Linked DNA regions of Caenorhabditis elegans. The gene in region 1 interacts genetically with each later gene. Each region holds a gene or a part of one and is shown on either strand. Other genes may lie near its edges.

Region 1 (10,460 bases):
TTTCTAAAGTCGGTATTTCCCACTCACCTCTCCAAATACTGGCCGCTCATTTCTATCGAACATAATGCAATTGTCATATAATTTGAGCATGCTCTTCGGCGTATCATGTCGAATTTTCGATCTATCCGGCCTCAAATACCCTCTTCCAACCATAAACAATATCTGATCTCGATTATTAATGTTGGAGTATGGTAGATGCGAAGATAGAATTTCGTACATGCATATTCCAAAAGAATACACATCAGACTGTGGGGTATATGGATTATCATCTTGCATTCTGATGACTTCAGGTGCCATCCAGAGAATACTTCCTGTTGGTTGTTGTTGCTGTTGACCTCCGTTCACTGTCCATTTCGTTTTGACAGTTGCCAAGCCGAAATCTCCAATTTTTACCGTTGACATGTCATCCATAAGGAATATATTGTTCGTTTTCAAGTCACTGAAATGTTTTAAACATTTAAACATAAATTATAGATATGGTCAGTTACCGATGAATAATATTTTTTGAATGTAAATAATTCATTCCAAGAGACACTTGCTTCAGTATATCAATGATAGCACCCATTTCAAATTCGACGCGTGGCTCTGAAAATTATTAAATTATAAGAATTAAAATCTCAGTTCAGATCACCTTGAACATGAATATGTCTATACAAACTCGATCCTTCACACCATTGAGTAATAATTGCAATTTCTGGTTCTCGAACCCATCCCATAAACAGCAAAACATTCAAATGACGTGTTTTCTTTAAAACTGCAACTTCATTTTTAAAGGCTGCCATTTGAGAAGGCGTCGGATCAACAACATTCAGCTTTTTTATAGCAACAGTTCCGAAGAATTCTCCACGATAGACGGTACCGAAGGATCCCGAACCAACTTTGTATTGAATCTAAAAGAATGCTTGTTTTAATAGTTTTGACAGAAGTTTTGAGCGTTTTTTTATTGCTTCAACTGTAAAAAAAAAAGCTATTTTCAGATAAATAAAATGTTTTTTTTCTATATTCGATCACTGAATTTAAATGAAAAAAATTAGGATAACATGCTCCTTTTGTAGAACTGCCGGTTTGCAAAAGCCGTGCACCCTTGCTGATGTAGAATAAACTTACAATAAATTCATTCGGCAATATTTCCCAATCCTCATGATGTGGTTTCTGTGGCGGCCTGGGTCGTTGTGCATCAAGTCGTTCGCCTGGCGATCGACTACGATTTCGGAAGAAACCAGGTGAAATCTAAACATTTTTAATTGAAGAAAAATAGATTTTTTTGAATTCTACCTTCTGAGGAGGTGCTGATTGTGGTGGTGTTAATGGGAGAGTATGCAAATGAGCGGCTACTAATGATGACGTCGTTGATCCTGATACATTCGGGGATTGTCCAAGAGTAGGTTGTCCGATTAAGCCACCTGGAGGTGATGAACATGTAGATGAAGGAGAATTCGAGCCAAGAGGAGTACAGTCAACAAGTGGGTGAAGACGATTCATTCGAGCTCCTGAATAATTGAGAATAAGTGAAATTAAAATAATTAGAGTCGTTTGGGAAATTCTTGAAGGTGGAATAGAGTAAAAATTGTTTTTATAACTTTAGAAAAACGTCTTAAATTTGGAATTTTGTTTTTCTTCCCTGACCTTTTGACGAATCGTTATGTTTTCTGTTTTCGATTACCTGACAAAATATGTCCACTCTGGAAATGAGGTCGATGACGTGCTTGTGTTGAAAGTAACGATCCAGTTTTATCTCGTGATTCTTCTTCTAATCGCTGAGCTTCCAATGCATCAAGAATTCTTTGCTGAAAATAATACATTTTAGACTTTTTCTTTTAAAATTGGTGACTATTACATTATGTTGAACTGTTGCCTCATCATTAATCGCATTGATATTCGGAGCAGAAGAGCTCCGATCCCGTGGATAAGGTCCGGATGGAGATAATTGAGATGTTTCATTCTGTGGAGAAACAGCCATTGGATGTCTTTTGACACCACCCGTTCGTTTAATACTCGTCAAATCTGGATGAGAACTGTCTGGTGTGGCAGCTGGACTTTGTCCACTCGTTGGAGCTAGATTAGCAAGAACTATTTCGGCAACTGATCTATCTGGGCCTTCGACTTGTGATGCGATCCCAAAGAGTTCTTTCACTAGCTGAAAATTAAATGTTTTAGATAAGAATTGTTTCTGAAGCAGAGGTGAGCAATTACGCCATGTTGTTCCAACATTTTTCATTAAAAATCAGTGTAAAAAATATATAGAACCACCTTAATTATCTAATGATAACTTTTAATTATGTTTAAACATCTATGAAAATGCACAAAAATGACCTAGAAGTTGCGAATTGCCTATGGCAAATGGCCATTATTGTGCATTTTCACAGATCTTTAAACATAATTAAAAGTTGTCATTAGATAAATAATGTGGTTTTCTATATTTCGACGTTAATGACAAATGTTGGGACAACATTGGTAATTTTGTAATATTGCCGCCCGCCTTTGTTCTGAACGCACATCTTCATTTTTCGGTACAGATTGTAACAAATCGCAATAAAGTGGTGCAAACGATGAGCATCTTTGATGAAATTTGAATTGACAAAATTCACATCGAAATCCCATCATCCAGATAGGATTATTGCATACATCACATGATTTCGGTGGAATAAACGTTCTTCGAACAATTGCATGTTTAATCGATGAGACTGTATTCAGATATTCTGAATGAACCCATAATTCATTTCCAGGCAGTCGGGATGCGATCTCTTCCATTGTCAGCTGAAAATATTCAAAAATAAGAATTATGCTGTTAGATTCCAGTAAATCACACCGATAATTCAATAGATTCTTGTTTTGGGTCAGATGACGCGTTCACGTGACATAATTGAGGTGTGATATTCCGTTTTTTGAGCAATTTCGAAATGGCATCCCGCGCGGTTTCACCGGGACGAACCTGAACAAAATGTGCTTATTTTCTTCGTTTCACAGTGAATTTTTTGCTTACTTCAACCCTAGAATGTTGATCAAATGGCAAATGAACCATAATCATTTTGTATTTGAATTTTGGCGGTTCCTTGTCACTTGTTCCTGCTCCTCCAGCGGAATGATGTCCAGATAACGAATGAAGACTATCACTGTGCTTTGGATAAAGAGGAGTTGAAGGACTTGCCATCGGCGAAGCTTGATCCTGAAAATAATTATGAGTTACATATAAATATTTAATTGATAATCTTTGGAATGAGAAGTGGACGCTTGATTCTGAATTGAATAGATTAACACGATTCCCCACAAGTAACATGTAATTAGTGTTAAAAAATTCAAGACAAAGGATTCGTTGCTAATTTTCTACCTTCCGATCAATAGATGAAGAAGCACATCTCGGCAGACTTATAAGCCGCGGAGATGGGCAATGTGGGCTCGTCGGGGTGGTCGACGCCGATGACTTTTTGAAATTAATCCGACTCATTCGGCGGCGTGTCGACGATGATGATGGCGTTTGAGATGATGTGACAGGTGACTTCTAAATTGCTGTTAGTGATTACATGTAATTAAAAAACAAAAGGACAATTTGGACGAGTAAAACATTAAACACGGACTTTTAAAGGACATTTGAGAAATCAGAACAAGCAATAAGTAAATTACTTTTCAGATGCTCTATTTTATTATTGTGAAGCACTTTTTAAAACAATCTGAACAAATAAATGTTTCCCTTTAGCATTTTTCACTTTCATTTTATTTGTGGAAAACGTTCGAAAACACACCGTTTCGCGAGAGCATTCCATGTGAAAATTGCAGTTAATTCCAAAATAAAATAAACCAGAAAATCAATATATTCGCAGATAGAAGGTCAACAAAAGAAAGAGAGCGGCGGTAAGGGGCGCAAAGATGATTTTTTTCTTTTCCGAGAAGAGTACACGGAGGGAGTTAGTCCGCGGGCCGAACACACTTTTCTCTTCCATTTTCGCGCAGAAGATTTTAACCCAGATTTTGCAGGGTTTATTAGAATTTTCAAATAATAAGGACAGCGTTGCGCTCGGTTATATGAATTTATGTAGATGGAGTGAAGCTTTAAATAAATCTATTATTAATGGAAATATGGAATACGTTTATTTTCATTAGTTGATAAATTAACTTTTCAAATCTACAGTAACTCGATAGCTGAAAAGAAAAGTTAAAACTTGTATTGAAAAAGATGTTACGAATGAAACGTGGGATTCCCATGTTCAAAAAAGGAATCACGAATGTTCAATTTGCTGGCCAATTAAACAATTGTGTTCGCAAAGTTTTAAATGCAATCGTGTATTTTCTCAATACAGAAGCCCCGCGGGTTGCTTCATAAAGTCATTTGATTATTCAAATATCACTATGATTTCACAGAGTGTACCCTATTGATTTAAATCAGTTTTCAACTTACTGGTGCCGATTTCCGACGATTCCAGCCTCCATGAAAGTGACAAACTGAATACAGTACAGCCATTGCAGACATTTTAAAATGTTATGTGATCAATTATGGAATATAATTATCTCCAGATAACTTTAGAAGAATTTCAGAAAGTAAAAATATATTGTTAACAGGGGCCCCTTTGGATCCAATGGTTCTCTTCACACACAAAAAAAGAGAGGCGGGGTTTGTTTTCGCCATCTATTTTTTCTCACTGGTTTCTGTGCTCTGATCGAGAGAGATAGAAAAAGAGAGCAAAGAAAAAGAAACGTGTAAATCGGGAGCGACACGTGCCACGAATAGGTTGACAATGTTTTCAGCGTTGGGTCTTAACACGAAACAGATGACCTTAGTTTGTGAAGAGAGCAGCAAGTTGATTTGAAGAAACAAGGTCATACGTGACAAAACACAAACTAGAAAAGAATATATTCGAAAAAAACCACTAATCAAATTATAAAAGAAGGAACTAGATGACATTTGGTTAATAAGCTACTTCTAGTTAGTACACCCCGAATTAGCTGTGAAAGTTGAAAAAACGGGAAAAGTTTATCTGAAACTGACAGACTAGACAAATGTCTGTGACATATTGCAACTAAGATTTTGCAGAATGTGGACATTTTTGAGAAAAAAGGGATTACATGACTCAACTGATTACCTTTACGTTATGGTAATTTTCAAATTTTCTGAAAAGTGAACTGATCTGTTAAGATTGGTCTTGCCACGAAAAAATAGTTCATTCTAGGATTTAGAAAAATTTGGTATCATTTGCTTCCTTGGAATCAACTTAACTTAAGTATTACTTATCAACTTATTATCTTAACATTTGTCAACTTTACCACTTTTAAACAGTTATTTTGAAACTAAATTTTCGAAAGTTGGAAAGCAGAATAAAAGCAGCTGGCATCACGGAGATTAAAACATATGTCTTAATGTGTTTTCTCGCGACGAGACCCATCTGAGTTGATACATGTTTTGAGGAATAAGCGTGAGTCTAAAAATCTATTTTGAAAAATCTATGAAAAAAATCCAAATTCTACGAATAAAAATCAATGGGATCGCGCATCAAATGTGTTTTGTTCGTTCCGCCTCTTCATTCCACTCTATTCTCATCTTTTTCCGCCAATTTCCACTTGAAAAGTGCGAACAATTCCTCAAAAAAGAAACAAAATACACTATATTCCACATCAAAGAGGTCATTTTTCTATCAAATATTTGTTTTGGTTTATCAAAAAGATTGAGGTTCTAAAGATTATTATTAAAAGTTTTAAATAAACAAACTACGAAAGCATTATTTTGATCTAATGTTGACTATACAAAACTTTTTCAAATTTCTTTGATCACTAGAATTTCAAAAAAAAACCTATTTCAGTATAATTGTAGTTCGCAAAATAACAATTATTTTCATTTTAATGTGAGATATCGTAGTTCTTAATATAGATTTTCAACAGAAATTCAGAAATTTGGCTTCATCGAAATTAACTTTGAATCGTACATTGGGACGTCCTGTCTTCAGAAATTTTCAGCCGACATGCTCAAACGAGCTCCAAAAAAGTTTAAAAGTATCTATTGCAAGGTTTTCGCCAGCTTTAGAAATTAACACCAAATCTACCTCTACAGTTAAAAGTTTAAGAGCATTGGACATTTCAAATTGAACGCTATTCAAAGATTATAATCAAAGATTATAATCGAAAAATCGATTTTTCGATTTTAAACTAGATCCCTTGAAACAGTGAAAAAATTTCTATGTTTAGTCGCTCAAAAACCTCTTCATACTCTGTGTGCTCGTTGTACTCAAAGTTTGTCTTTTTACTACATTTTGTATAGTTCGATTGCTTTTCCTTCCTCCTTTCCATCTTTCCCTTCTTGCTCTTTTGCTCCTTCTGGTCACCAAAAACATCATGATCATTGATTTTCTCAGCTTCTCTGAGTATCTTGAACTCTACTGATCTTAAATCAGTTCGGTGCAAAAGAAAACGAGAAAGAAATGAAGAAAAAGAAGAAGATATATGTGTATGTGATATATTTATTGTTTGAGTGATTTAGTGACAACAAGACTCGGCTGACTTTTGAACTAGTTTTTAGGGGGCTCTAGTTATAGATCAACTGTAGATAATACTAGAAGTGGGCGCATGATGCACACATCGCCAACAAAATCTGGTCAACAAATAAGTTTTGACATATTTTGTAAGTTTACGATTTGTCTGAAATTTTGTATGGGCTACTTACATATAGTGTGCAGTTAGTATATACAAGCCTACAAGTTTTAGCTAAGCTTCTTGGTACTTTGTTCTGAAAATATGTAACATTACTAATTTTTTTGCGATATTTTGGATTAGGCCTTTGAGTTTTGATGTTAAGTAATAACTAAATCAATTATGTTTTGTTCGTAGATGAGAAAAATTCATCACAACATTTCATCAAAATTGGACCACACACACAGAAATTTTATAGCAAATGAGAAACAGTGAAATTTACTAAAAAATATTAAATTTTTCCGATTATATTTTTTCGTTAAATATTTAACTAGACAGTGAATAAGTTCAATTAATTGCATAAAAAACAATTTAAATTTTTTTCAGATCAAACAACTAAGAAGCTATTAGCTGAAACTAGCTGAAACTTTTAGGATTGGATGTCCTAACTGCTATATAACTCACCTATACAAAATTTGAAAATAAACTTGAATTGACCATACATATACGTCTTATTTGCTGACCTAATCCAATTAATTGTAGAAAATTTAATTTTGATTTCTAAACTTTTACAGATCTAAAATTAAATTGACACCTGTTTTTTTTTCTTGCTATTTCAAAACATTTTTCAAGCTGACTACAGAAATCTATATGTTTATAGTTGAAGAACAGTTGTTCTAGATTCTAGAACCTCACTCATTCCAGGTCAATAACTCAAGAAAAGTCTTCATGTCCTTCCATCGTCAGGTGACCCAAGACACCCGAATTCATAAACTACGTCAAATGTGACCCATATTTCATCACTAAGTCATTGGAGAAGATCAGCAAAGAAAAGTGAAAAAACATTCGAGAAGGACCTAGAACACATGCACCTCTCATAAAAGACGGGTCGGCGACGAGTCACTTTGCTCGTTTTTATTCTATCTTTTCGTTTCAAGCAAAAAAGAATGAAAGTTAGTGTAATTTTTCTGGGATCTTTGTGTGTGTGTGAGCTAGATAAACATGCACATACGGGTCCTTGGAAACCCGTGAAAACAATTGGAAGACACTTGATGTGAGGGAATGAAAAATATGAAATTGATGACAGATGATGATTTGGACTTCGAAAAGTTCTAGTGATCCTACTGTAATTTTAGCAATATATATATAAAGGTGTAAGAGGCACACTTCCGGAAAATCTTGCGTCTATAAATTTGTGGCTTCGTTCAATCGAAACTGAGTTGTTCTAAAAATCTTTGATACTATTTCAGTTTGTAAATCAAAAAATTGAAAATGGAATATAACACTCCTAAAACCTAATTGTCTACAAGAAAACCATAACTCATCGTGTAGGCGACCTACGCCTACTTTACATTTGTTCATGTATTTACGGAAATGTAGGCATAGGTTGCCTTCGAAGTTACGCCTGCCGTGCGGCATGTAGATTAAATGAAAATTTGAAAACTTTAAACTTCAACTTATAAAAAATCTTGAAAGTTGCTTAAAAATCTGAACCAATACATTTTTGAAGCAAGATTTTATGTGACCTACAACAAACAAAAAATAAATTTTGAAGTTAGGTCAATCACGCAGATTAAAAATTAACAGCCTGAGTACCTACATGTGAGACTTATTTAACACCTGATGCCTATGTTACATATAAGTCCTCGCGGTAAACTAGGCTACCTTGTAGGAAGTCAGGTAGGTATTTTTGTATCTCCATCGATGACTTACCACTATCGAGATCTAACAGTTAAATTTATAATGTTAAACTCAACTAGAAAATCAACTAGAAATACGGTCTGGAAAAACCAAGAAAAAGTTGAGAAATTGACGCTTTTTCAAAGAAAAATGCATAGTTCCAAATCTTGAACGGTTCCTTTTTGATCATTTTTTCTTAATTTTGACTAAGACTACTATTAATAAATACTAATTTTTCAGAAAACATCAAATTGTATTAGAAAAAGAAAAGAAATGATTTCTGTTTCACCACTTTTGTAAAATCCTAGACAAGTTTGTAACATCTTTTATGAATTCATTGTAGTCTTACAACTCGTGATTATCTTTTTCCCATAAGAGTAAGATCAGTCATGTTTAATCTATCGAATCTCTGCACTTTCCCCCTAATAATTCCCATGAAAAGCCACAATCAAAAATCATTTTGCAAAGTTACAACTCGCGATGAATGAGAATTAAATTGGACACATGGGAAATGCAGAAAAAAAAGAAATGCAGAAATTTAACACAAAAGCATAAGTGAGCACTCTCCTGTTTTTCAACAAAACGGGCGCCACGTTACCAAGGCAACCAATGAGAGCTTCCGAAAATGGGGAAGAGAGTTGGAGAAAATGCTTGCATTTTTTGAAGGAAAAATAGTTTATGAAAAAGAAGAGAGAAGACAAAATGAAGGGAAATAAAATAGGGAAGAAGAAGAAGAAAATGAATGTGAATAAAGGATAAAATATATTTGGAAGAGAAGAAGATATTAACTTTTTTTTAGGGATTCTAATGAAAAACTGAAATGAGAGAAGATCGGGAAATAAATACATACTTGTTTGAATTCTAAAACTTTTCAAAACTGGCAAAAAGTTTCAAAATTGTAATTTCAAATTATTGCACATACAGGTTATGTCTATTAATTTAAAAATGAACGGTCTCAATAAGTTGGATGTTTTAAAAGCTTGCATTCATTTTGTCAAAGATGTCACATTGTTCTGGAGTTTCTGCACAAGAACAATTGTCCTGGAATTTCAGTCCTGGTGGATGCGAATTCCAGTTGAATTTTTGGCTTTTTGGCATTTTGCAACGAATTTTCAATTTTTAAAAATATTTCTAAACACACTTCTCATAGCTCAATATGCAATATGACCGACTATCATAATGAATAGAACACTCCAACACAGTTTTGGCAAATTACCAAATATTCAAAAACTTCGACTTTAAATAGAAATTTTGAGCATTAGCTCGAACCCCTAGAATGATTAAATACAAAAATTGAAACTGAAATAAATATAATAATAGAACAAACAATTTTTCAGTCGCCTTTCAAAATTATGATATGTCAAAGCTTAATTTTCACCACTTTTTGATTGTAATTAATTTTTTTTTGTAATTAAAATTTACTATATTGTTTGGATGAATATTTATTTTTATTTATTTTTGAAGCGAAAATTTCCACAAATGAAAAAGTCCAACTTTAAAAGCAAAAACTCAAAACTTTTGAAAGTTGTTATTTCGAAAAGTCTAAATAAAATGAAAAGTTGTGTTGAAGAATTAATTTTCAAAATCATGAGGATTTTCAGATTGGAAAAACACAAAAGCAACAAATCTTGGAACCAAAATCCAGATATCTGAATGTACTTTTGATATTTTAATTAGTTCAATTAGTTCAACTATAAGTACCAAATGAGTCATTGCTCTTGCAAAAAAAGAGAACAAAGCACTGCAGAATGAGCACCGGAAAATTTTCGCCGAGTGTGGTTGAAAACGAAGTAGGTGTAATAATGGCTCCGCGAATATCTTTGCTCCCACAACCACTGACAGCAGTTCTTTTTTCTACATATATTCTTCATTTTAGAAGGCAGTCAACGAAAGAATAGTGACAATCTTGCAGAAAATTTTAAAGATGATAAATGGATATACTGAAACAATAATTTTTTACAACAAAAAATCGTTCAAAAAATTTCTATTTTATTTGCAATGTAGACTAGTGAGAGTTATTTAAAAATTATTGGAAGTTAGATTTAATTTTTGTTAGCGTTATGGATCGAACATTTCTGTCAAAATAGAGATTTGATAGGAATAATAACCGAAGCACTTTATAAACAGTTTTTGTGTAATTAGCTCAAAATCAAAATTTATTAGAGTTC
Region 2 (10,460 bases), on another chromosome or scaffold:
AAGATTCCCCCATTCTCTTTTTTTTTTTCGTTCAGCTGCGTTGCGTAATCTTGATTGCGTATATATTTACAAGCGGGTGGGGGATGGTTCTGTCGCGTAACGAAGCGGCTTCTGCCAAACCCGTTTCGCCTGCCTGGGTCTCTACAGTACCCCAGTACTGTCTGTGAAAAAACTTTCGGTTTTGTCTAGTTCATTGCCAGAAGCTGAGAGATATCTTTCATTTTTGCTGTGTGAAAATTTTCGCGCGGCGCTGTGAAATTTTCGACTAAAAATGATTAGGCAATCGGTTTTTTTGCTTGCGGCTATTGGGGCTACCGTTTTTGCACAGAATGGTAAGTTTTTAGAATTTTTTTTCGAAATTATGTTTTTATGCCTAAAACGTTTTTTCAGACTCATTCGACCTTGTGGATGCGAACAATGATGGAAAGCTGTCCGAGAAGGAACTAATCACTTTTATGAGGAAGCGAGGAAGGCCTGATGGGCAAGGTAGGGGGAACTTTGCAAGATTTTTGAAAATGTTCAACTGCCAAAATGTAGTGCTAGAATTTTACTACAAGTTGTTAGTTGGAAATTTTTTTGTAACTCTGTTAGAGTTATACAGCTTTAAAGACTGACTGGCTAGAGTGTCTTGTTTGACCGGAGTGAGCTAGCGCCTGTAACTCTTCAATGAGCAAATTTATCAAAAACTTGCCAAGTAACAAAATGTGCCAAATTTAATCTTCTACAACTTTGTACTTGAACACTTTTTGATAGAACACCTAGTTCTTCAGATACCCCTGATTTTTGATCCCACACTCATTCGTGACTAGGTGAAATTAGTCATACTACAGTTACACAAACCGAACAATAGATACAGCTACAGCTATTAAACACAGAGGGGTTCTACTCAAAACTAGATTCCCGATCACCTTGAGATGAGCATGACTAACTTGCAGAATACTTCCAACGCTTCGATTTGGACCGTAACGGGCACTTGGATATTTCTGAGTTTGTGCCATTGGTCTATGAGATGAGCCGGCGGCCAGTTGACATGGATTATGAGTTCTTCAAAAAAATGGACTTGAATGATGATGGAATTGTGGATAAGGCTGAGGTGGAGAAGATCAGAAAGGATAATAATGATAGGTAAGAGTTTCGGAGATGATACTACTAAAAAATCATTTTTATAGCTCTTTTCCTCGCAGAGATAGAACGGTTTAAAGTTTGCATGCCAAGAGAGTGTGGGGTAGGGGGAGGGTGCGAGACGCGCGCGCTGTCTTGCACTCTCCCCTTCTCCCACACTCTCTGCATGTATAAACTTCAGACCTTGATATCTCAGCTGGGAAAAGAGCTATCCAAATAATTTTAACTAACAAAATGTAGAGCTAAAAATTCTCTACAATCTGTTAGTTGACAAAGTCTTGAATACTTTACTAGTTTTCAAGATATTGCAATTTTTACCTTCTATAGTGTTGTGCCCTAACAATTATTGGCATTTATGTCATTTATTAGTAAGGATAATAGAGAACCTAGGATAGGCATTGAAACTAGAGTGCCTCTCATTTACAACATAATTTACAACCTACACAGGGAGAGGGAGGGAAGACCAACAGAGCAAGAGGGAAGAATGTGAACCTTAATAGACCGCCAAACAGGCCGCATAAATCAAATTATAGATAACACATCTTATGTGCATAGGACCACACAACATATAGTTTTCAGAATTATCGACGGAATCCTCTCAATCGCCGACACTAACAGAGATGGTCAGCTCACTTATGCCGAGTTCAAAAACCACCTGAGCAGCGGAGCCAAGAGCCTGAGCCCAGCCGAGGAGCAAAGAAACCAGGCTCTCCAGCTCCTCAGCTTTATTGACGCCAACGGTGATAACAAGTTGGACCAGTTGGAGCTTTACACTTTCTCACAGAAAACTTCCACTAATAAGGTGAGTTTATGGTATTTTTAAAATGTTGTGTGAAGTGGAAAATGTAGAGCTGGAAATTTGCTATACTTTGTTAGTTGAAAACTTTTTGTTAGCTCCATTCTCAGCAGAGTTATTCGCTTTTAAAGTTGGAGATGTGAAAGAGTGTGGGGAAGGGGGAGACACAGACAGCGCGCGCGTCCCGCACCCTCCCCCCTCCACACTATTTCATCGCGCAAACTTTAAAGCGTTGTATCTCGGCGGTGGGGAAAGATACCGAAAAGTTTTCAACTAACAAAATATAGTAAATTTTACGCTCTACAATTTCTTTTCTTGTAATTTTTTTCTAGTCATCACAGTTACCAAGTTACAGGTCACCAAATCCGATGTCCAGCAAATTTTCGCAATGCTCGACAAGAACCAGGACGGTTATTTGACCGAAAACGAGTTGCTCCAACTTGCACAGCAATTTTCAACAATCGGAAATGTCAGATCAACAATTCCAAAGGTTTAGATAAAGAATGAAAAACGATAATATTTCTTTAATTACCGTGAAAAATCTCATTTTTTTTGTGTATATTTGATTGAATTTGAATAAATAAATAGATTTTATTTTTATATATAAAAACGCTAGTTCTCTTAAAAAATCAATAAATCATCGATTTCTCATCATTTTAAGGTAAGAAATGTACAGTAACCGTGCTATGAAAGGCCAGGAGAATGCGAAAAAGAAAAATTGAAAATTCCGGAAAAAGCGGCAAATCGACTGAGTCCACGTGGTTCGGCGCTGAAAAATCGATAATTTGAAAAAAAACTGTTTTGAGAATTTTTTTTTGATAAGTGTATAGTAAAATTTGAAAAAAAAAACTACAATTAATTTAAAAAATTCGCTAATTAAAAAAAAACCGAAAAAAAACCAAAAATCGATAATTTACTGAGCCTAAAATTATTTATCGATTTTTGGAAAATCGATAAATTAAAAAAATCAATACATACCTTAGAAACCCGATTCAACAGATGCATGATAACCTTTAATTGTAGTGCATTGGTAGTTTCGACGCTATTCAGCTGCCTTGAAATTTCCATAAGTTGCTCATTGAGCTGCATTAAAAGTGGGTAGTGAGCCATTTCTTGGAACTGAAAATTTGAAATTTTTGGGTAAAAATTGGCTGAAAATCGGATAAAATTGATTGGAAATTTTTTTTGAAAAAAAAATTTCAAAATTTTTTTTTGAATTCAAATTTACAGAAATATTTCAAAAACCTGTTTTACATAAAAATGTGTTTATAACTTAAAAAATTCGAATTTACCGCCAAATTGAGTACTTTCCAGTCACTGCTGTGGTCACTTCCACTGTTGCTCCGTCGCCCCTTTGATGGCCCCGTAATTCTCCGGTTTTTGATTTCATCGGGTTCTAAATAAAATAATTGAGTTGTGCTTAAAATTGGCTTTCAGAGAAATATACATTTTTTGAGGTTTCGCAAGAGAAAATGAAAAAAAAAGGAAAAAAACTTTTTTTTAAAAGAATTTTTTTTTCAAATTTATTTTTTTGTAGTTGAAAAATTTGTGGAATTAAGAAAAAATTATACTTTTCTAAAAGCTCTCAAACAGCCTAATTAAAAAAAATTTTAAATTTATCCTCAAAACTTGATTTTTCAAACAAAAAATCAGGAAAAAACCCACGAAGCTTTTCCAAACTCGAGTGCTCGCTGCTCGACTCGCGGCTATAGTACTGAGCCATCCGTTCCTGATTCGACAAAAGTTTCGAGACACTTTTCTTACTCCTCCGCATTTTGGTTACAGTACCCAGATGAGATTTTAAGGAATCACACAATTTTGAGAGCTCCTCGCCACTTGACACCGCGTCCTCGTAGTCGGACTCTACTGGAATTTCCTGCAAGGTTTATGAAGTTAGTTTTTGTTTTCTGAGATTGGGAGTGAAGTTTTTAAATTTTTCGTGAAATTTTGAGTCTGGAAGTGTATTATGGCAAATTTCAAAATTTCGGAAAGTAATAAAAAGTCAAAAAAAAGTTCAAAAAAAAATTTTTTCCAAAATTTTTTTGTAACTCACAGTAATATGATCAGGAATTGGCAAATCTGTTGAAGTAGACGGAATCATGAATCTGAAACTGTTGGAAAAAAATATGAAAAACTCTCCGAAAATGGGCAAAAGTGATAAGGTGGCGGAAAAATGATAAACGACACGGATGTGCATAGAGAATTACAGGAAAAAGTGTTGAAATGGCAAGAAAAAAGGTGAAAATGTGAAATTTTTGAGTTTCGGCGTGAAAATTTTAGTTTTAGCATAAAAATTTCAATTTCAGCGTAAAATTTTGAGTCCTACAACAACAAAAAATCAATTAAAAAAATTCAAATTTTTAGCAAAAAAATCAAAAGTTTCAACCACTCCATTCTTTATAGAATGATCACATGTAGAAACGTGTAGCCTTATCAATGTATCACTAGTCTTATCAATTGTCTGCGTCTCTACGTCTCTCAGTTTCCAGTGCTCTCTGGTCATGTTTAATGCCTCAAATTGATACAGCCAATGATACACCATAGTGGTAGCTGGGAAGTTGTACTGTTTTTGTTAAAAGTTGTTTATTGTTTACTGGAGATTTTCTGAAACTATGATTTTCAAACAGAAAATTAAATTCTCAACATTAAAGTATTTGAAATTTCTTCAATAGCTCTACTCTCCGCGGAGTTACACCCCTTCAAAGTTTGAGAGGCGAGAGAGCATGGCGGAGGGAGAGACGCAGGCGGCGAGCGCGTCTCGCACCCTCCACCCACACCACACTCTCTCGCCTCGCAAACTTTAAAGAGGTGTAACTCTGCTATAAATAAAGATATAGAAAAACTGTAAAATACAACATATTGAAAATTTTATGTTCTATGTTCTACAGTTTGGCGGGAAATTCAAATTTTGCCGGAAAAAACACTTTCCATTTTTTAGGTACACAGAACACAACATAAATACCTTATCAAGTTACCTCTCCATTCAAAGAAAAAATGAGAGAGAAGCAAAAAAAAGTATCTACACGGAGGCGCAGAGAAATCAGAGAAAATCGTTATCAGCTCCACTACTCTGTTGCGCGGCATCATATCAACAATCACACCACTTTTTTCCCTCTTTTTTGGTGAACTTTTATAAAAATTGACTTTTTATTGATTTGTATACATGACGGCGGAAGGTAGGTATTTGGAAATTAGAAAAAAAACTGTAAAATCAAAATTCCGATTTCCAGCTTCTTCCAGCTCCACGCGATGTCTAATTTGTTCAGCACAAGCCACTGGATTTCACTTTGAAGCTCAGTCCTGCTCAGCTTGTGCTGCATTTTTCCGGCGGACCGTTGCACTGACAAAAAGTTTCAAGTGCATCACAGGAAGGGATGACTGCAATGTTCATTATAGTAAGTTGCTAGTGTTGTAGATCTCAAAATTCTACGCATTTTTGCATTTTAAAATTTTCTGATAGCTCTCCTCCTCGCCGAGATATTCCTCTTTGAAGTTTGCTAGGCGAGAGAGTGTGGGGCGGGAGGAGGGTGCGAGACGCGCGCGCTGCCGGCGTCTCCCCCTCCACCACACTCTCTCGTTGTCTAAACTTTGAGACGGCGTAACTCAGCGGAGAGTAAGGATATCAAGAAAAATTTTTATGCGGAAATGTGTAGAATTTGATTTTCTATCGATTTATGTTAAAGTTAAAATGGTTTTTAGTCCATTTTTTTGTGAGGCATAACTCCACATGGAGTAGGCATATAAAAAAGTTGTAAACCAACAAAATGTGTGAAATTTAAAGTTCTATAAGTTTTCATTGCCATTTTTTGCATAAACCTAAAATTTCATTCCAGGTATGCACCAAATCTGCAGAAGCTGCCGTCACAAAAAGTGCCTGAGCAATGGGATGAAGCCCGGTGGAGTTCAACCCAAAAAGCCAAACATTGAAACCGGAAGAGCATTTTTCACAAAATCAGGGCTCAAGAGAAATAAGAAATTCGCGAATGTGTCCCCGCAGACGGCTGACGAGCAGAAGCTCGTGGTGGAGGGGGTTAAGGTTCCTAAAATTGAGGTTCAGGAGCCAAATAGCTTGGAGGACTTGGAACAGGATAATGAATTTGTGATAGTAAGATTTACAGAAAATTTGTTTAAAAAATTTAGAAAAAAATTGAAATTGCCAAAATTAAAATTTTTGAAAATTGAACATTAAAAAAATTTAGTTTTTCAAAATTTAACATTCCTCAATTTTTTCCAGAAAACCCCTACACCTCGGAAAATCTCATCGTCCACCTCCTTCAGCGCCTCAACAACTACAAACTACAGTACTCCCGGACCATCTCCGATGGCTCCCTGCTCAGCGGGCCCGGATGTGCTCACCCTGTTCATACGGGAAGAGATGAAGCTCGGTGAGAGAAGGAGGCTATTGTTCAGTGAACGAGCAGTAGGGACTCTATTGGGACAGAATAAGCATTGTGTGAGTTTTCTAATAAAAAAAAATTTTGGAGCACAATTTTTTTTTGAAAAATCACCAAATAAAAAATTTTAGCCCTACAAAAAAGAGGACATAAAACCCCTGGTATTCCACGACTTTCGTCTAACCATAAAAACACACATAATGCTAGTCTACGAGTGGCTCCAAACCTGGCCCGAGCTCCAGGAGCTCGACGACTTCGACCGAATGTCACTGCTCCGGAAAGCTGTATTAATACATTTCCTACTTGATCCATCCTTCTTATCATATCAAATCGGTGAACCTGATAAGCTGATAATGCAGAACGGGGGCTTCATATCAACAGCGGACCATCATGGAGTTGGCTGGGAGGATGAGACGGATATCAGTGGGGAGAATAAGAGAAAGTACTATGTTCCAATTATGAAACAAATCACCGACGAGATCATGCCTGCGATGGAAGCTATGAAGATCACTTTTGAGGAATTTGTGGCGCTGAAGGCGCTGGCGTGCTTTCAAGGGGGTGAGATTTGTTCGAAAACATTAAAATATTGTAGAGCCAGAAGTTCTAAACATTTCATCAGTTGGAAACTTTTTGATAGCTCCACTCCCTGCAAAGTTACAATACTTCAAAGATGCGGCGGCTAGAGAGTGTGAGGTGTGGGGAGGGTGCGCGACGCGCGCGCGCAATCTGCGTCTCCCCCTCCCCCACACTCTTTCGCCGCCGTAACTTTGCAAGGGCATACTAAGCGGAGAAAAGAGCTATCAAAAAAATTCAAAAAGCAAAAGTGTTTAGAATTTGATTTTCTATATGACGCTTGTGTTATTGAAAATCTTTGCAAAACTCTAAAAAATTCCAGGTTTCGAAAACGTGTCAGAGGCGAAACGTCACCTAATCACCCAACAAGTTAACAGGATAATGACGTCACTACACACCCATTATCTTGAAAATTCCGAAGAAAAAATCGCGGAGAGGTTTGGAACCATTGTGCTCATGCTGAGCAATATATTTGTGAGTTTTTTTGAAATTTTTATTTTCAAAATTTTACCAAAACCCAAATCACCTCGAAAATCGAATTTTTCCAGACTGCCGGCAATGATTTTGTGCAAAATCACAGAGAAATCGATATTTTCCACATTTGGGATCTGGACAAGCTGGTGCTCCAGCTGCTCAACCTCGACAAAATTATGGAGACAGAAGCCAGGGAGACTGCCGAGAAACGGGCGATGCGGAATGGGATTAATGTTGTTAATAATAATAATGATGTGCTTTTGGGTCAGGCAAAGCTTGAAAAATGAGAATAAATGAATTTTTGGGCTTTTTAAAATTTTAGAATTTTATAACTTTTTGAAAAAAAATTTTTTTTTCGTTTTTTTTTTTTCAAATTTCAAAAAATTATAACTTTAGTCATTTTTAAGATTTTTTGCTCATTTTTTGCAAAAATGTGCGAAAAAATTATATCTACAGCATACCCATCAATTTTCCCCCTGGGACCCAAAAAAATTGAAAAATGTTGGGAAAAAAAGTTTAAAAAATTAATAATTTATTACAACTCAAACTCGTTTTCTGTTTTAGTACAATTTCCATGCATTAATATTTTCAAAGTTACAAGTAAATTTGCGGAGCCGCCGGCTCCGTCTCCTCGTCCTCCACCACACTTTCCACGTGGATTTCGGTAGGCACTACACTGCCGGAGGAGCTCCACCGCGGCCTGATTAGTGTTGGAGCAAGAGTATTGTCGTCGCGGAGCCAAGTTTGCACAAACCCGAGCTGTGCAGTTATCATCTGGAAATAAGATTTTAGTGGGCGTAGCTAAATTTGAAATTTTTATTTGTAAAAAAAAATTATTTTCAGAAATTGTAAATTTATTTTATAAACATATCACAAAATTTTCAATTTAAAAAATCTATAAAATAGGGTCTACAAACTTCCAGTCGAAAAAATTTTTTTTTTTAAATTTGCTCAAAAATCCCAAAAATGTTTAAAGTGGGCGGAGCCTAATTTAAGGGATTTGAATAAAAAATCAAAGCTCAGTTTTCACATACTACAGGCTCAGGTAGCAAGGTCTGAAAAAAAAATTTATTTTCAGAAAAAATTCGATGAAAAATTCCAAAAAAAGTCAAAAAGTGGGCCTAACTTGCGATTTGTAATTAATCTAAAAATGGATTTTTTTCCAAAATTCAAAATTAGTTAGTTAGAGAATAGTTTTCAGAATATTTTTCAGAAAAAAACTTTGAGGCTGAAATTTTTTTTAAAGTGGGTAGAGCCTAAAAACTTTCAATTTACCGAAAAAATAATAATTTTTTTTATTAAAAATCAAAAATTTTTGTGCTCTTAACTACTTAAACATTCAATTTTTAAAATTTTATGTTTCCAATCACCAACCTGATAAGCCCCCGCTCTTATAGTCATCAGCTTCTTCCTCTGGCTCGTCATAATAGTCGAGTGGGCGTTGCGGATTCCCTTATTGATAAAAGTTAGGATAATCGGATAGGCGGCACACGAGATGTACGGTAGCAGGTGAGCCATTTGAGATATGATCACCATCCAATTATTCGACGGGGGAAATGTGAAGAAAAGCCAGAAAAGAGCCCAGTAGGGGGTCCAACAGGCCATATAGACCACCACGAAAGCGTTTACGGTATGGCGGATTTTTAGTATTGATTGGTGATTAAATCGTGTAGAATTACCTAAAAATTGTGAGAAAATATCAATAAAATTGCAAAAAAATCGATTGAAAAAATTTATTAATTTTTTTGAAATTTTTTTTCAAAATTTTTTTTCAACATAAATAATAAAAATTTCACCCAAATTTCTATTCTAAAAAAACAGAAAAAAAACTCACTACTAGTAGTTTTAATAGACGAATATCTCCTCTTCAAGATCATGGGGACCCTCAAATAAAAGTACATGTAGGCAGCGCTAGTGAATCCGTAGCCAAACACAAACGCTAAGATATTGAACACCATTGCTGAAAAAAAAAATTAAAAATTGCCAAAACTTAGTGAAACTTTGTTACCATATGGATGAGGAGGGTGGAAAATGCACATGGTGACTGCAGTGAGCTCTCCGTGTCGTGGAATTTCGTAAGTTCGAGTTTCCGCAAAAATTAGTACGGATATCTGAATAGAAAATTGAATTCTGATCATTTTTGTAGTTGGAAGTTTCTTTGTAGCTCCACTCCCCGCGGAGTTATGCCCATTCAAAGTTTTACCAGCGAGAGAGCGTGGGGTAGGGGGAGACGCAGAGCGCACTGCGTCTCCCCGCCGCCACACTCTCTAGCCGCTAAACCTTCAAAGCGGGATATCTCTGCGGGGAGTGAAGCTATCAAAGTTTTGAAAAATAAGAAAATGAGTAGAACTTCAAGCTCTACAATTTTTGAGTATCAAAAGAAAAATCAGAAAAAAATCTCACCGTCAAAACTCCGACTGCAATCAACGCCATAACAGAGTACAGCTGAAATACAATATTCCATATGCTCCGCCTCTTTTTGGAGCATTTGTGTGACGTCATTCGAACAGATTCGTAAGACTCCCTGCTGATACGGAGAAGAGCCAATGGGATGATGAGTTTGTTGACCACCTCGATGCAGTAGAATGACTGAAACAAAAAATAATGGGAGGTGCGAAGATTGAACCTGTGACCTATTTTAAGAAAAACAAACGTGTTACCTGTTGAGCCATTCAAACTCAAACTGAAAACCGCCTCAATTTTCTAGTGGGAATCTATAAAAAAAAGTTTTTTGAAATTATATTATAGAGCTGAAAATTCTACACAATTTCTTAGTTGACAACTTTTTCATAACTCTTCTTCCTAGAAAGATACAAGGCTTCAAAGTTTACGCGGCGAGAGAGTGTGGGGAGAGAGGAGACGCAGACAGTGCGCTGCGTCTCGCCTCACCCCACACACTCTCGTCGCTAAAACTTTATGAGGTCATAACTCCACTGAGAGGGCCGTTTTTAAAGTTTTTAAAAATGTTAAAGTGTGCAGAATTTAATTTTCTATCGAATGCATAAAAATTTGAATTTATTTCACAATTTTTTCGAACCCTACCTTACAGACGATGTTCCCAAAAATCCACTGCTTCTCGAACTGGAAGTGCACGAAAAGTG

What was found. Genes that interact genetically often act in the same process or in processes that back each other up.
Region 2: of lin-45 (region 1) and nhr-80, changing one enhances a phenotype caused by changing the other (phenotypic enhancement), as found in Caenorhabditis elegans (one large-scale study listed by BioGRID).

The regions. Positions count from the first base shown.
Region 1 is NC_003282.8:6,743,960-6,754,419, forward strand, and holds the start of lin-45 (Raf homolog serine/threonine-protein kinase), read right to left. Parts: upstream 4,466-10,460; coding exon 4,394-4,465; intron 3,856-4,393; exon of another isoform or gene 3,762-3,855; coding exon of another isoform or gene 3,741-3,761; intron 3,500-3,740; coding exon 3,329-3,499; intron 3,167-3,328; coding exon 2,984-3,166; intron 2,933-2,983; coding exon 2,810-2,932; intron 2,758-2,809; coding exon 2,497-2,757; intron 2,138-2,496; coding exon 1,838-2,137; intron 1,788-1,837; coding exon 1,664-1,787; intron 1,491-1,663; coding exon 1,276-1,490; intron 1,231-1,275; coding exon 1,108-1,230; intron 891-1,107; coding exon 632-890; intron 586-631; coding exon 489-585; intron 440-488; coding exon 28-439; intron 1-27. UniProt on the Caenorhabditis elegans protein: Protein kinase that participates in the induction of vulva and has roles in fertility and viability. Acts downstream of the Ras protein let-60. Required for progression of developing oocytes through the pachytene stage.
Region 2 is NC_003281.10:9,375-19,834, reverse strand, and holds nhr-80 (Nuclear hormone receptor family member nhr-80), read left to right. Parts: upstream 1-5,081; coding exon 5,082-5,313; intron 5,314-5,751; coding exon 5,752-6,023; intron 6,024-6,152; coding exon 6,153-6,371; intron 6,372-6,443; coding exon 6,444-6,870; intron 6,871-7,207; coding exon 7,208-7,359; intron 7,360-7,433; coding exon 7,434-7,646; 3' UTR 7,647-7,704; downstream 7,705-10,460. Other genes in the region: H10E21.4 (EF-hand domain-containing protein), read left to right, coding at 272-332, 391-486, 936-1,125, 1,702-1,924, 2,274-2,414; H10E21.1 (Transposase), read right to left, coding at 2,556-2,687, 2,897-3,037, 3,211-3,314, 3,584-3,794, 3,972-4,019; npr-30 (G-protein coupled receptors family 1 profile domain-containing protein), read right to left, coding at 7,954-8,133, 8,734-9,038, 9,194-9,319, 9,368-9,470, 9,763-9,948, 10,402-10,460. UniProt on the Caenorhabditis elegans protein: Transcription factor. Binds to regulatory elements and regulates transcription of target genes, including acyltransferase dgat-2.